Linked DNA regions of Oryctolagus cuniculus. The protein of the gene in region 3 interacts with the protein of the main gene of each other region in a pairwise test. Links are inferred from orthologs where the notes say so. Each region holds a gene or a part of one and is shown on either strand. Other genes may lie near its edges. The genes, in order: COPS5, BNIPL and GFER.

Region 1 (2,356 bases), on a different chromosome or scaffold from region 3:
CTAAAATCTAGAGTACCAAATTACAGTATAAAGGACAATTTCAGAAGCATAATTTAAGAGAGATACATTCACTCCTATGATATCTTGGGATTTAAGACTTTATGAAAAAAACCCTGAAATTTGTTAAGTTTCAACATCTCTTAATTTAATTCTACAGATGCTTATATGACAATAAACCAAGAGATTCTTTTGGCAAAGGCTTGCTTTTATTTATTTTTTTTTAATTTGAAGACCTAAAGGAAGATTAGTTTCTTTCTTTGACTTTGTAGCTGAACTAGAAGAGATGACTGGGAGTATTCCATGTCACTGCCTACATCTTTGATTTAAGCCTTTAATGTTCTGACCTAATGACTCCTAAATTTTCAGAGTTAAAATCTGCATTTGACAACTTTTAAAGGTCCCAAGAAGTTTAATGTTCAGATATTATTCTGACTAATTTGAACTGTAAGGAATTTGGTTCCTACTATTATTTGAGAATTGAAAGTAAAAAGAATCTTTTTCTTATTCTTATTCTTATTCTTACCTGTCTCTTGTGGCTTTGGCAAGTTTGTCCTCTGATTTTCGGTCATGTGTTTCTAAACCCAACATGAAACTTCCTCGTCCCAGCTGGGCTTCTGACTGCTCTAACTTTTCAGACAAATCAAAGACCTGACCAGTGGTATAGTCTGCATTCTGTGGAGAAGATGATATTGTATTAGTACACAAGTCTACCATTAAAAACATAAAAAAAATATACATACACACATATATATTTTAATGTAAATTAATTTTCTTCTATAAAGAACATTTCATTTACAAAGAATCCTCCTATAAGATCTGAGTGGATGATTATTGAAGTAAGAAGTCAAATTACACGTGCAAAATCTTGCAACTTTTTCAACTTGTCAAGTGGTTCAATGTAGATGTGTTCTCTTTTTAATTTCAAGATTAAATTTGGAATTTTTCTCTTCGACTCTAGGTCTAATGGTGATTATTATTACAAGAGGCCTTGGCCTACACATATCAAGTCCAGCTCCTAACCTGCTGCAGATTAGTTGGGAGGCTTGGGACATGCCTGCAGGTCCTCTTCAGAAAATGGGAAAAGGGAGCAATTTCTATGTTAAGGCTATTGTGAAAAATTAATGAAATAATGTGTGAAAGCTCTTAGGCTGGTCCATGGCACCCACTAAATGCTTAATAATTGTTAGCTAGTTTTGTTACTATTCTTTTATAATTTGTACTTAGGATAATATTTTTAAAAATAACCTTTGGTTTTGCTTAATAAATTATTACAGAAAATAATTTAATAAATTACAGAAAATTTGGAAAATGTAGAACAATATAAAGAAAATAGACATAGCTATAAGCCCTTCACCTCACTCATATGCATTCTATATCTGGGAAACTAGAATATTATATATTGTATTTTTATAATATGACATACTTTTTAAAAAGAAAAAAGTTATATGTCTACATTACTGTAATATCTTTAAAGAGATTGTTATAAGATATCCATTTTTAGTTTTAGTCTAAAATATAAAGAAAACCTACAAAGTTGTAAAGCATATATTACATTTCTTTTCTTAATCTTTTGTAGAAGAGAATGAGGATAAATAAGCCATTTGGCGAAAATCAGCATGCTATTTTAGTTGCTCAGTTTGAAAGACAGCTTACAAGAAATACAGTTTAACTATCAAACACAAAATGTTATAGCTATCATCAAAGTTACCACAGAAGGCCCTTTAAAATGCTACCAGATCTCCTAATGATTGTTCAAAGTTAGGGTGATTTTAAAATGATGCAATTATATTTACTTTGCCTAAATGAATCTAAATGGTTTAGGAAATCAACATTTATCCCACAGACTTGGAGAAAAGCCTAAGGTTTACAGACTTTTCCACATTCAGAAGATTAGCTACAGAGCCCATAAAAATGTAAGCTAGCAGAAATGGTTATACTAGTAAACTGACAGTAAAATATACCCAATCACATTTCAAATGCCCAGAAAATTAATACAGGAAACTAATTTCTTAAAAAAATTTTTCTCTGGTAGCTTTTAGGTTTTATGCTATAATTAACTGCTTTAGTTGGAGAAAGAGAAAGTGAACATAATTTACATGTTTTCTTAAAATGCAGCAGTGTCCTATATGAGTATATAAAATCACAGAAAGGGAGAAAATGTAATTTAACCTTTTCTTGATTATTAATGTCCTCATATATGCAGTGCTGGAATACAGGGACAGCCGTGTGGCTGAGTAGGTAGATCTGCTTGCCTTTATACAAAGGTTCAGACTGCTCTGGTCTTACACAGTGTTTTCTCCCCTTGCATCAGCTCTCACTTCTGGTTGCTATTAGTATACTTGCCTCTACGGAAACA
Region 2 (3,650 bases), on a different chromosome or scaffold from region 3:
AGATAAATAAATAAATCTTTCTTTTTCCCAACGTTCTTAACTCCATTAAGCAACAGCAGAATGGCACAAGTCAGCTATGCAACTGACAGAGCCAGGAATTCTTTTGCACTACAGCGTAACCAAGAATAAGGAAAATTCTCATCGGTAGGTTTAAATATAGTGCTGAATAAATAAATCTTAAAAAAAAATGAAAACTTGGCCGGCCCCACAGCTCACTAGGCTAATCCTCCACCTGTGGCACTGGCACCCTGGGTTCTAATCCCGGTTGGGGCGCCAGATTCTGTCCCGGTTGCCCCTCTTCCAGGCCAGCTCTCTGCTGTGGCCCGGGAAGGCAGTGGAGGATGGCCCAAGTGCTTGGGCCCTGCACCCCATGGGAGACCAGGAGAAGCACCTGGCTCCTGGCTTCGGATCAGCGCGGTCCGCCGGCTGCAGCGGCCATTGGAGGGTGAACCAACGGAAAAAGGAAGACCTTTCTCTCTGTCTCTCTCTCACTGTCTAACTCTGCCTGTCAACAACAACAACAACAAAAAAAAAAAAAAAAAGGAAAGAAAGAAAGAAAAGCTAAAGAAGGTCCTTATTAAGTCAAGTGTTGTCCTTAAATTAAGTAGCATTATTTAAAAAGAGGAAGGCGAAGAAGACAGTGCAGCTGTGGAAATGAAATACAGGGCAAGATGGGAGAGGAGGCAGACTGCCTTCCACATGCCAGAATGTGCCTCCGCGTTAACTCCACTTTCACAAGTGCCCAACGGCAAAGAGACGACTGTTGCTATTTGCAGATAAGGAAACTGAGGCCCAAAAAGTAAAGTGGCTTGCACCCATCATGCAGCTGGTAAATGGTAAAGGTGAGATTTGAAACCTGATCTCCTTAACTCCACGTGAGGACAGGCGGGGCTTGGAAAGGGGTGGAGAGGGACAAAGGAATGAGGAAGCAGCTAAAAAGAAGAAAGAATGAGAAGATGGAGAAGAAGAAAGACAGAGAACTGCGGCGCCCTCATCCTGGGGTCTCACCGCCGATCCAGAGTGCGGTAACACTGGCGTATCCAGCCCAGAGGTGGAACCTGGGCCCTGCTTGTGCCGCCGCTCAAGTGAACCAGCAGGTAGTTTTCAGCCACCAGCAGCTCCAGGGTCCCCACCATATACCTGGGGGACAGAATTACAGGGGAGCCCTGTGTTGTGGGTCACAGGGAGCACGAGGACTATTACTGCAGACTCCGAAATCAGTACAGATGTTGGAAGGGGACTTTTTTTTCTTTTCCTCCCATAATACCCTCTGTAGCCCCTCAGGCCTTCCACCTCACCTAAACAAGTGTTCCATGACATAGGCATAGTTGGGAATGCTGCCTCTGGGTAGATAACAGGAAGCAAAGAGTATGACAGCATTGAGTCCATCACCATGGTAACCTGGTGAAGAGAAGTATGTGTTGGCAAGACAGTACCTCTGAGGGGCTGTACAGGTTACAGGAAGGAGTTTTGAACCCAATGACCGAGTCTCCAGCTTGGTCTGTTTATTCCAGAAGTCACTGTTTTTACCCCTCCGTCTACACTAGCCATTACCTCCATGAGACAGGACTTTCTTGTAGGGCTCAATGGCAGTCATGTCCACTCGCTGCTCCCGCTGTCCTGTTCGGAACACCCTCCAGCGATGCCCGTCTTCTCCAGCCACGTCCCACACGCAACCCCGGCCCAGCCTTTCCGCAGCCTCACTGGCCGCCAGACCCTCTGCCCGGGGCAGCTCATCTGAAAGAGCGATGTAGAGGGATCAGCAGGATGATTCTCACCTTCAGTATCTTGTCAAGTTCCCAGATGCCTGGAGTCTGTTACTGAATCGCCTGGCCCTCAGTTGTTTCCGTCCCTTTAACCTCAGTTTGTCCACTCACCCCACTACCACCATCCTCCTAGGTTCTCTCCTGCGCCTCCTGATCCTCTCCTTTTCACTAGACAATGGCCTCAGGGTCCCTGCACCACGGCAGGTCCGTGGCTCTCACCAGCACCTGGCTTTTTCTTTTTCTGGATTCAGTTTCTGTACACGCTTTCCCCTGGGCGAGCATATCTAGTCCCCGGGTTCAGTTACTGTCAGAAAGCTGAGGACTCCCGGATCTGCCTCTCTAACCCAAACTTCTCTCCTAACTCCAGATTCATATCTCTGACTGCCTGGAGTGCACTTCCCTCCTTTATGTGTCCCTGTCAGGTCCCAGATCCAAAATCATCCTCTTCTTCCTCTCCCTCGTTTCCTTTCTCTCTCTCTCTCTTTTGCTTTAAGATTTATTTATTTATTTGAAAGGCAGAGTTACAGGGAGAGAGAAGGAGAGACCGAGAGATAGATCTTCCATCTGATGGTTCACTCCCCAAATGGCCATGACGGCCAGGGCTGTGCCAAACCAAAGCCAGGAGCCAGGAGCTCCATCCAGGTCTCCCACATGGCTGCAAGGGCCTAAGCACTTCTGCTGCTTTTCCAGGTGCATTAGCAGGAGCTGGATAAGCAGTGGAGCAGTCAGGATTCAAACAGGTTGCCCGTATGGGTGGCCAGCAGCTTAACCCACTGCGCCCCAATGCCAGCCCCTCCCTTGTTTCCTTTCTTGACGAACAATCCCATCCATCTAGCCGGGTGTGAGAGAACACTGTTCTGACATTCCTTCTTCTCTGTCTGCCCTCAAACCAGCTGGACCCCACATCCTCTTCCATCCACCTTCATTACGCCCCTTTATTAGCTTTGCCACTATCACTGTTCTGGCTCACTTGTGCTTGGTACTAGCCTCCTACCTGCTCTCCCTGCCTCTGGTCTCTTTTCCTTCAATCTACTCTAAAGACCACAGAGCAAGTTCTCTTTTTTCTACTTCTTTTTTTTTTGACAGGCAGAGTGGACAGTGAGAGAGAGAGACAGAGAGAAAGGTCTTCCTTTGCCGTTGGTTCACCCTCCAATGGCCGCCGCGGCCGGTGCGCTGCGCTGATCCGATGGCAGGAGCCAGGAGCCAGGTGCTTTTCCTGGTCTCCCATGGGGTGCAGGGCCCAAGCACCTGGGCCATCCTCCACTGCACTCCCTGGCCACAGCAGAGAGCTGGCCTGGAAGAGGGGCAACCGGGACAGAATCCGGCGCCCCGACCGGGACTAGAACCCGGTGTGCCGGCGCCGCTAGGTGGAGGATTAGCCTAGTGAGCCGCGGCGCCGGCCTGTGTGGGGTTCTTAATTGGTGTATCCTCCTTAGAGGCTTATGGGCAAAGTTTTGAATATGTCTACTCCTTAGATCCAGTGAGACATTTTCAGAAATTTGAGTATATAGAAATACTGGCAGCTGTGCCAGAAGAAGATCCTGGCTCCTGGCTTTGGATTGGCCCAGCTCTCCAGCCATTGCAGCCATTTGGGGAGTGACCCAGTGGATGGAAGACACATCTCTCTCTCTTCTCTCTCTCTGACTCTGCCTCTCAAGTAAATAAATAAATCTTTAAAAATAATTCCATAGTGTTAATGCCCTGTAGTAAACATTATTTTACTCACGGATATTTTGGCCATTTCTAGTCTTTTCAGTCATTAAACTTGATCATGTTAATTCCATGATTAAAATCTTTCTGAGACTCCTCATTGCTTACAAGATAAAATCTAAATTCCTTAGTGTAGCAGCAAGGGCCTCCGTGACTAGACCACTGCACTATCTT
Region 3 (4,152 bases):
GCCCAAGTGCTTGGGCCCTGCATCCGTGTGGGAGACCCGGATGGAGCTCCAGGTTCCTGGCTTCAGCCTGGTCTAGCCCCCAGCTGTTACAGCCACCTGGAAAGTGAACCAGTGGATGGAAGATTTCTGTCTCTTCCTCTGTAACTCTGCATTTCAAATAAACAAATCATTAAACGCTAAATAAATAAGCATGTCTATGTTCCTTGCGTGCTGCTGGGGGCCACCTCAGCCACCTGGGTCACATCGCTCCACGCCACTCCTTGGCTCCAGACCTTGGCTGCCTGTTGCCGAAGCCGGGAGTGAAAGCCACATCTGCTGGGGTCTTGAACCCTGCACGCCCCGCTCCCTCCCCGTTAGAGCGGACCCTTCCGCTGCAGCCATCGGCCTCCCTGTCTACTGGAACACCCAGGCCACGGCAACACGGTGGCCGCCTGCACGGGCATCCTCTCCATGCCCCTGCGGGGTCAGACCCCAGACAGGAGGGCAGAGCTGAGCACAAAGCACACCAGAACCAGGTCCAAGTCTCTTGTCCAGCACTTTATTCTGGTCTCTGAGCCCGGCACCGTCCTGGCACACCTTCAGAGGGCCCGTGCCAGGCGGGGCGTGGCAGCACGCTGGGCGACCTCAGGAAAAACTCCGCCCCAGACTTCCCCATGGGGCTGGGCCCAACGGAGTACTCAGGCCCAGGCCTCACTCCCCAAGTGGCAACGGCACAGAGCCACTGGGGCCACGGCACTGCTCAGGGAGAGGCACAGCCGGGCCTCACGGGGCAGGAAGAGGGAGCCCCGGCCTCTCGCGGGCTGCCATCCTGGACGACGAGACGCTCCTTCCTGCCTCCCTCCCCTGCACACCCCTGCCCAGGCCCCCCGCTGAAGAGGAGGCCGGCTGCTGGAGTGCCCGCAGGGGGCAGCTTCCTTTCGGAAGGGCAGTGTCCTGGGACCACCCAACGAAGACGCGACAGCTGTGGCTCTGACGCACTTTAATGAGCGGCCCGCCCCTCTGCCGCGGCCGCCCCTCTAGTCGCAGGAGCCGTCCCTCCAGCCGTCGCGCCAGCGCTCGTCCACTTGTGAGCAGTCAAACTCGGGCTTGCCCAGCTTGCGGTTCACCTCGTTGTGCAGGCGGCACAGCCACTGGCTGAGGCACGCGCGGGTGCGGGTGTCCGGCTGGTTCCTGTGGATCCTGAGTAGGGGCGACACAAAAGGGGGAGGTGGCCCCGGCCCTGCCGGCGCCTCGCCGCGGGAGGAGAGAGAGGCACTGCAGCCAGCGGCACCGGGGGGCGTCCTCCTGCGTCCGGAGATGGGCGTTCCCCAGGGTGGACCCTGCAGAGCCCAGGGCAAGGCACCGGGGCACGAGGCAGCCACTTTACAGTCTCGTGAAATCAGGAACACTCACCTGTGCCCCTGGCCCCAGGCAGGTGCAGCCGGGGCGGAGCCGGCACAGAGCGGACCGCTCCTTAGCACCCCAGGGAGGCCTTGGTGAACCAGTCAAGCCAGGGCTGCCTGGTTCTAACTGTCGTGGCTGCCCCCACACGTCCGGCCCGGAGATGCCTAACACAGCTCCCGGGCATCTCAGTGAGGAAAAGCAGTGGGTTCCCAGGCTTTCAAACCAGCAATCGGGGGCCGGCAGGGCGCAAGGCCTAAGCCACGGCCTGCAACGCCAGCATCCCACGTGGGCGCTGGCCCAGTCCTGGGCGCTCCACTTCTGCTCCAGCTCCCTGGGAACAGCAGCGGAGAACGACCCAAGTGCCCGGGCCCCTGCACCCCCATGGGAGGCTGGGATGAAGTTCCTGGCTCCAGCTTGGCCCAGCGCGGGCAGCTGAAGCCATGAAGAGTGAACCAGCAAATGGAAGACCTGTCTCTCTCTGTTTGTTTGTTTCAAATAATAAAAAGAGCAATCAGCATCGACAGTCGGGCAAAGTGCAGCTCTCCCTAGCCTGCCCCCAGTCCTAGGGCAAAGGGCAGCCGGCCCTCCGGGGCGAGCCGCAGAGCCCGGGCGGCCATGGTCTCTGCCCCGCTCTGTGACATCAGCAGGCAGTGCGGGCCCCGGCTCCACGGGCGAGCGCGGCTCACCTCTTTCTGATGTCTTCCGCACACTCCTCACACGGATAAAACTTGGAGAACAAATGGATGAACTGGGCCATGTCCTGCTGCTGCTCCGGGGTGGGCAGGTCCGGGTAGTAGGCGGCCAGGGTGTGCAGCAGCGCCCAGCTGTGGCGGCCCAGCTCCTCGCGGTCCTGTGGACAATCCTCTCTAAGCTTCGTGTCCCGCTGCAGAAGTAGGCCGACTAAGGGTCAGTTAGCGCTCCCCGACACGGAGGCCCACCGGCCACCCCCTTCCTCCGCCCCAGCTCTGCACACAGGTCCTGCGGCGCTTCCGGCCCGCGCGCGGCTGAGCGGGGCGGCCGAGGCGCGCGGAAGCCAAGGGCGGGGAGGTCGGGCGGGCGCCGGCACCTTCTGCTGCGTTCGCATCCACGCCTTGAAGTCCACGCAGGCCCGGCAGGGCCGCCTCTGCGCGGCGTCCTCGGCGCGCTGCGGGGCCGGGGCCGGCGGCTGGCCTGCGGCGGCAGTGCCCGCGGCGTCCCTCCGCCCCGCGCCCCGGCCCCGCGCGTCCGTCGCCAGGTCGTCCATCACCTCGGGGCGCGCGCCGCCCGGCAGGAAGGAGAAGAGGCTCCCGCGGTACGAGCGCCCCGGCTCCCCGGGCGCCGCCATCTTGCCCGCGCAGCGCCTGCCGGGCCAGCTCGGCCGCCAGAGGGGCCTCCAGGTCGGCCTCCAGGCCAGCGCGCGCGCCGCCGCCAGCGCGCGGCCGCAGGAGCCGGGGGCGCGCGCCGCGGGCGCGGGGGGCGGGGCCGGGCCGGGGTCCGGGGCGGGGCCCGGCGCGGAGGCGGGGCCGGCGGCCGGGGTCCGGGCCCGGGGCGGGGCGGGGCCGGAGGCCGGGGCGCTGGCCGCGGCGGGGCTGGAGGGCCGGGCCTCGGCGGGGGCCGGGCCGGGGGCCCGGGCCGGCGCGGGGGCGGCGCCGGAGGCCCGGGCGCTGCGGGTGCCCCTGGGCCTCGCCCCCCGGCCCGCCGCGCTCGCCGGGCGCCGTCCGTGGCGGCGCTCGCGCTTCCTCCAGTAGAAGAGCAGCGTGTTGTGGAAGGTGCGCCGCGGCCGCGCGGCGGACTCGGGCTGAGGCTGGGTCGCAGTGCGGGTGGCGGCCCGCGACGCCCCCATCGCTCCGCTGGCACCTTCCTGCGTGCCCGCGGCCGGGCTCTGTGCCCGCAGCGGGGGGCGCGCCCGAGGCTGGCCCCCCGGGGCCTTGGCAACGGCGCGTGCGGCGCGGGGCCGGCGTGACCGCACAGAGCGTTCCCTGGGACCCCGGGGCCGCGGTCCCTCCCCGGCGACCGGCGCCCTGGCAACGGGGCGCCCGCCTCCCCGCGGTCCTTCCGTGGATGTCCGGGCCGCGCTCTGTTCCCGGCACCGGGCCGGACAAGAAGCAAAAGTGCCCCTGACCGTCACTCCGTGCGGTGTTCAGCACAGTGACAAACCAAAGCCACACCTGTCAGTGTTCCTACAAGCAGTGGTAGGGCCCACGCAGGGCCGGGTGACCGCAGGCAGAGAGGGAGGGTCTGGGAGCCCAGGGCCGGGGGACATGGACAGCACAGAACGGGGGCGGGGTGGGGACTAGGGGTGCCCTTCAGGGGCCGGCACAGCCTCCCTGACCTGATCCCATGTCTGTTTTGTGAAGCTACCCCTGGCGGTGACGTGGAGAGTGGCTTTCACAGGGGCCAGCAAACCCCCCAGGGATGGGGGTGGGTGACGGCTGGAGTTGAACTGTGAGGGAACAGAGTAGGGGTCCAGAGAGCGGAAGCTGGGTGGAGCCAGCGTGGGCGCAGGGGGCCTCCGGATCCTTCCCAGCCCCATCTGATTAAACCTGGCCTCCCTCCAGCTTCTCTCCTGGGGCCCCCTCGGCTGCCTGGGCTGGCACCGGCAAGGTCAGACAGCTTTAGAGAGCAACCGGTGGGACAGACACACAAAGGATCTTTGTTGAGGCAGGGCAGCTTCCTGGAGGCCTGGGGGGGTGGGGGGCAACCTTGACACGGCACCAGGAACAAGCACCTGGCACAAGGGTTAGATGTGGCTTGGACAAGGAAGCCGCAGCCTAGAGAGGTAGGGCCCCT

Evidence for each region.
Region 1: the proteins of GFER (region 3) and COPS5 interact in a two-hybrid assay, tested with the Homo sapiens proteins (2 studies listed by BioGRID). The link is inferred for Oryctolagus cuniculus from reciprocal best matches to the Homo sapiens genes GFER and COPS5.
Region 2: the proteins of GFER (region 3) and BNIPL interact in a two-hybrid assay, tested with the Homo sapiens proteins (2 studies listed by BioGRID and IntAct). The link is inferred for Oryctolagus cuniculus from reciprocal best matches to the Homo sapiens genes GFER and BNIPL.

Annotation. Positions count from the first base shown.
Region 1 is NC_091437.1:92,671,999-92,674,354, forward strand, and holds part of COPS5 (COP9 signalosome complex subunit 5), read right to left. Parts: intron 673-2,356; coding exon 524-672; intron 1-523. UniProt on the Homo sapiens protein: Probable protease subunit of the COP9 signalosome complex (CSN), a complex involved in various cellular and developmental processes.
Region 2 is NC_091438.1:47,051,753-47,055,402, forward strand, and holds part of BNIPL (bcl-2/adenovirus E1B 19 kDa-interacting protein 2-like protein), read right to left. Parts: intron 1,738-3,650; coding exon 1,555-1,737; intron 1,402-1,554; coding exon 1,299-1,401; intron 1,141-1,298; coding exon 1,009-1,140; intron 165-1,008; exon of another isoform or gene 29-164; intron 1-28. UniProt on the Homo sapiens protein: May be a bridge molecule between BCL2 and ARHGAP1/CDC42 in promoting cell death.
Region 3 is NC_091450.1:33,243,354-33,247,505, forward strand, and holds GFER (FAD-linked sulfhydryl oxidase ALR), read right to left. Parts: upstream 2,708-4,152; coding exon 2,450-2,707; intron 2,290-2,449; exon of another isoform or gene 2,267-2,289; coding exon 2,070-2,266; intron 1,180-2,069; coding exon 1,017-1,179; 3' UTR 523-1,016; downstream 1-522.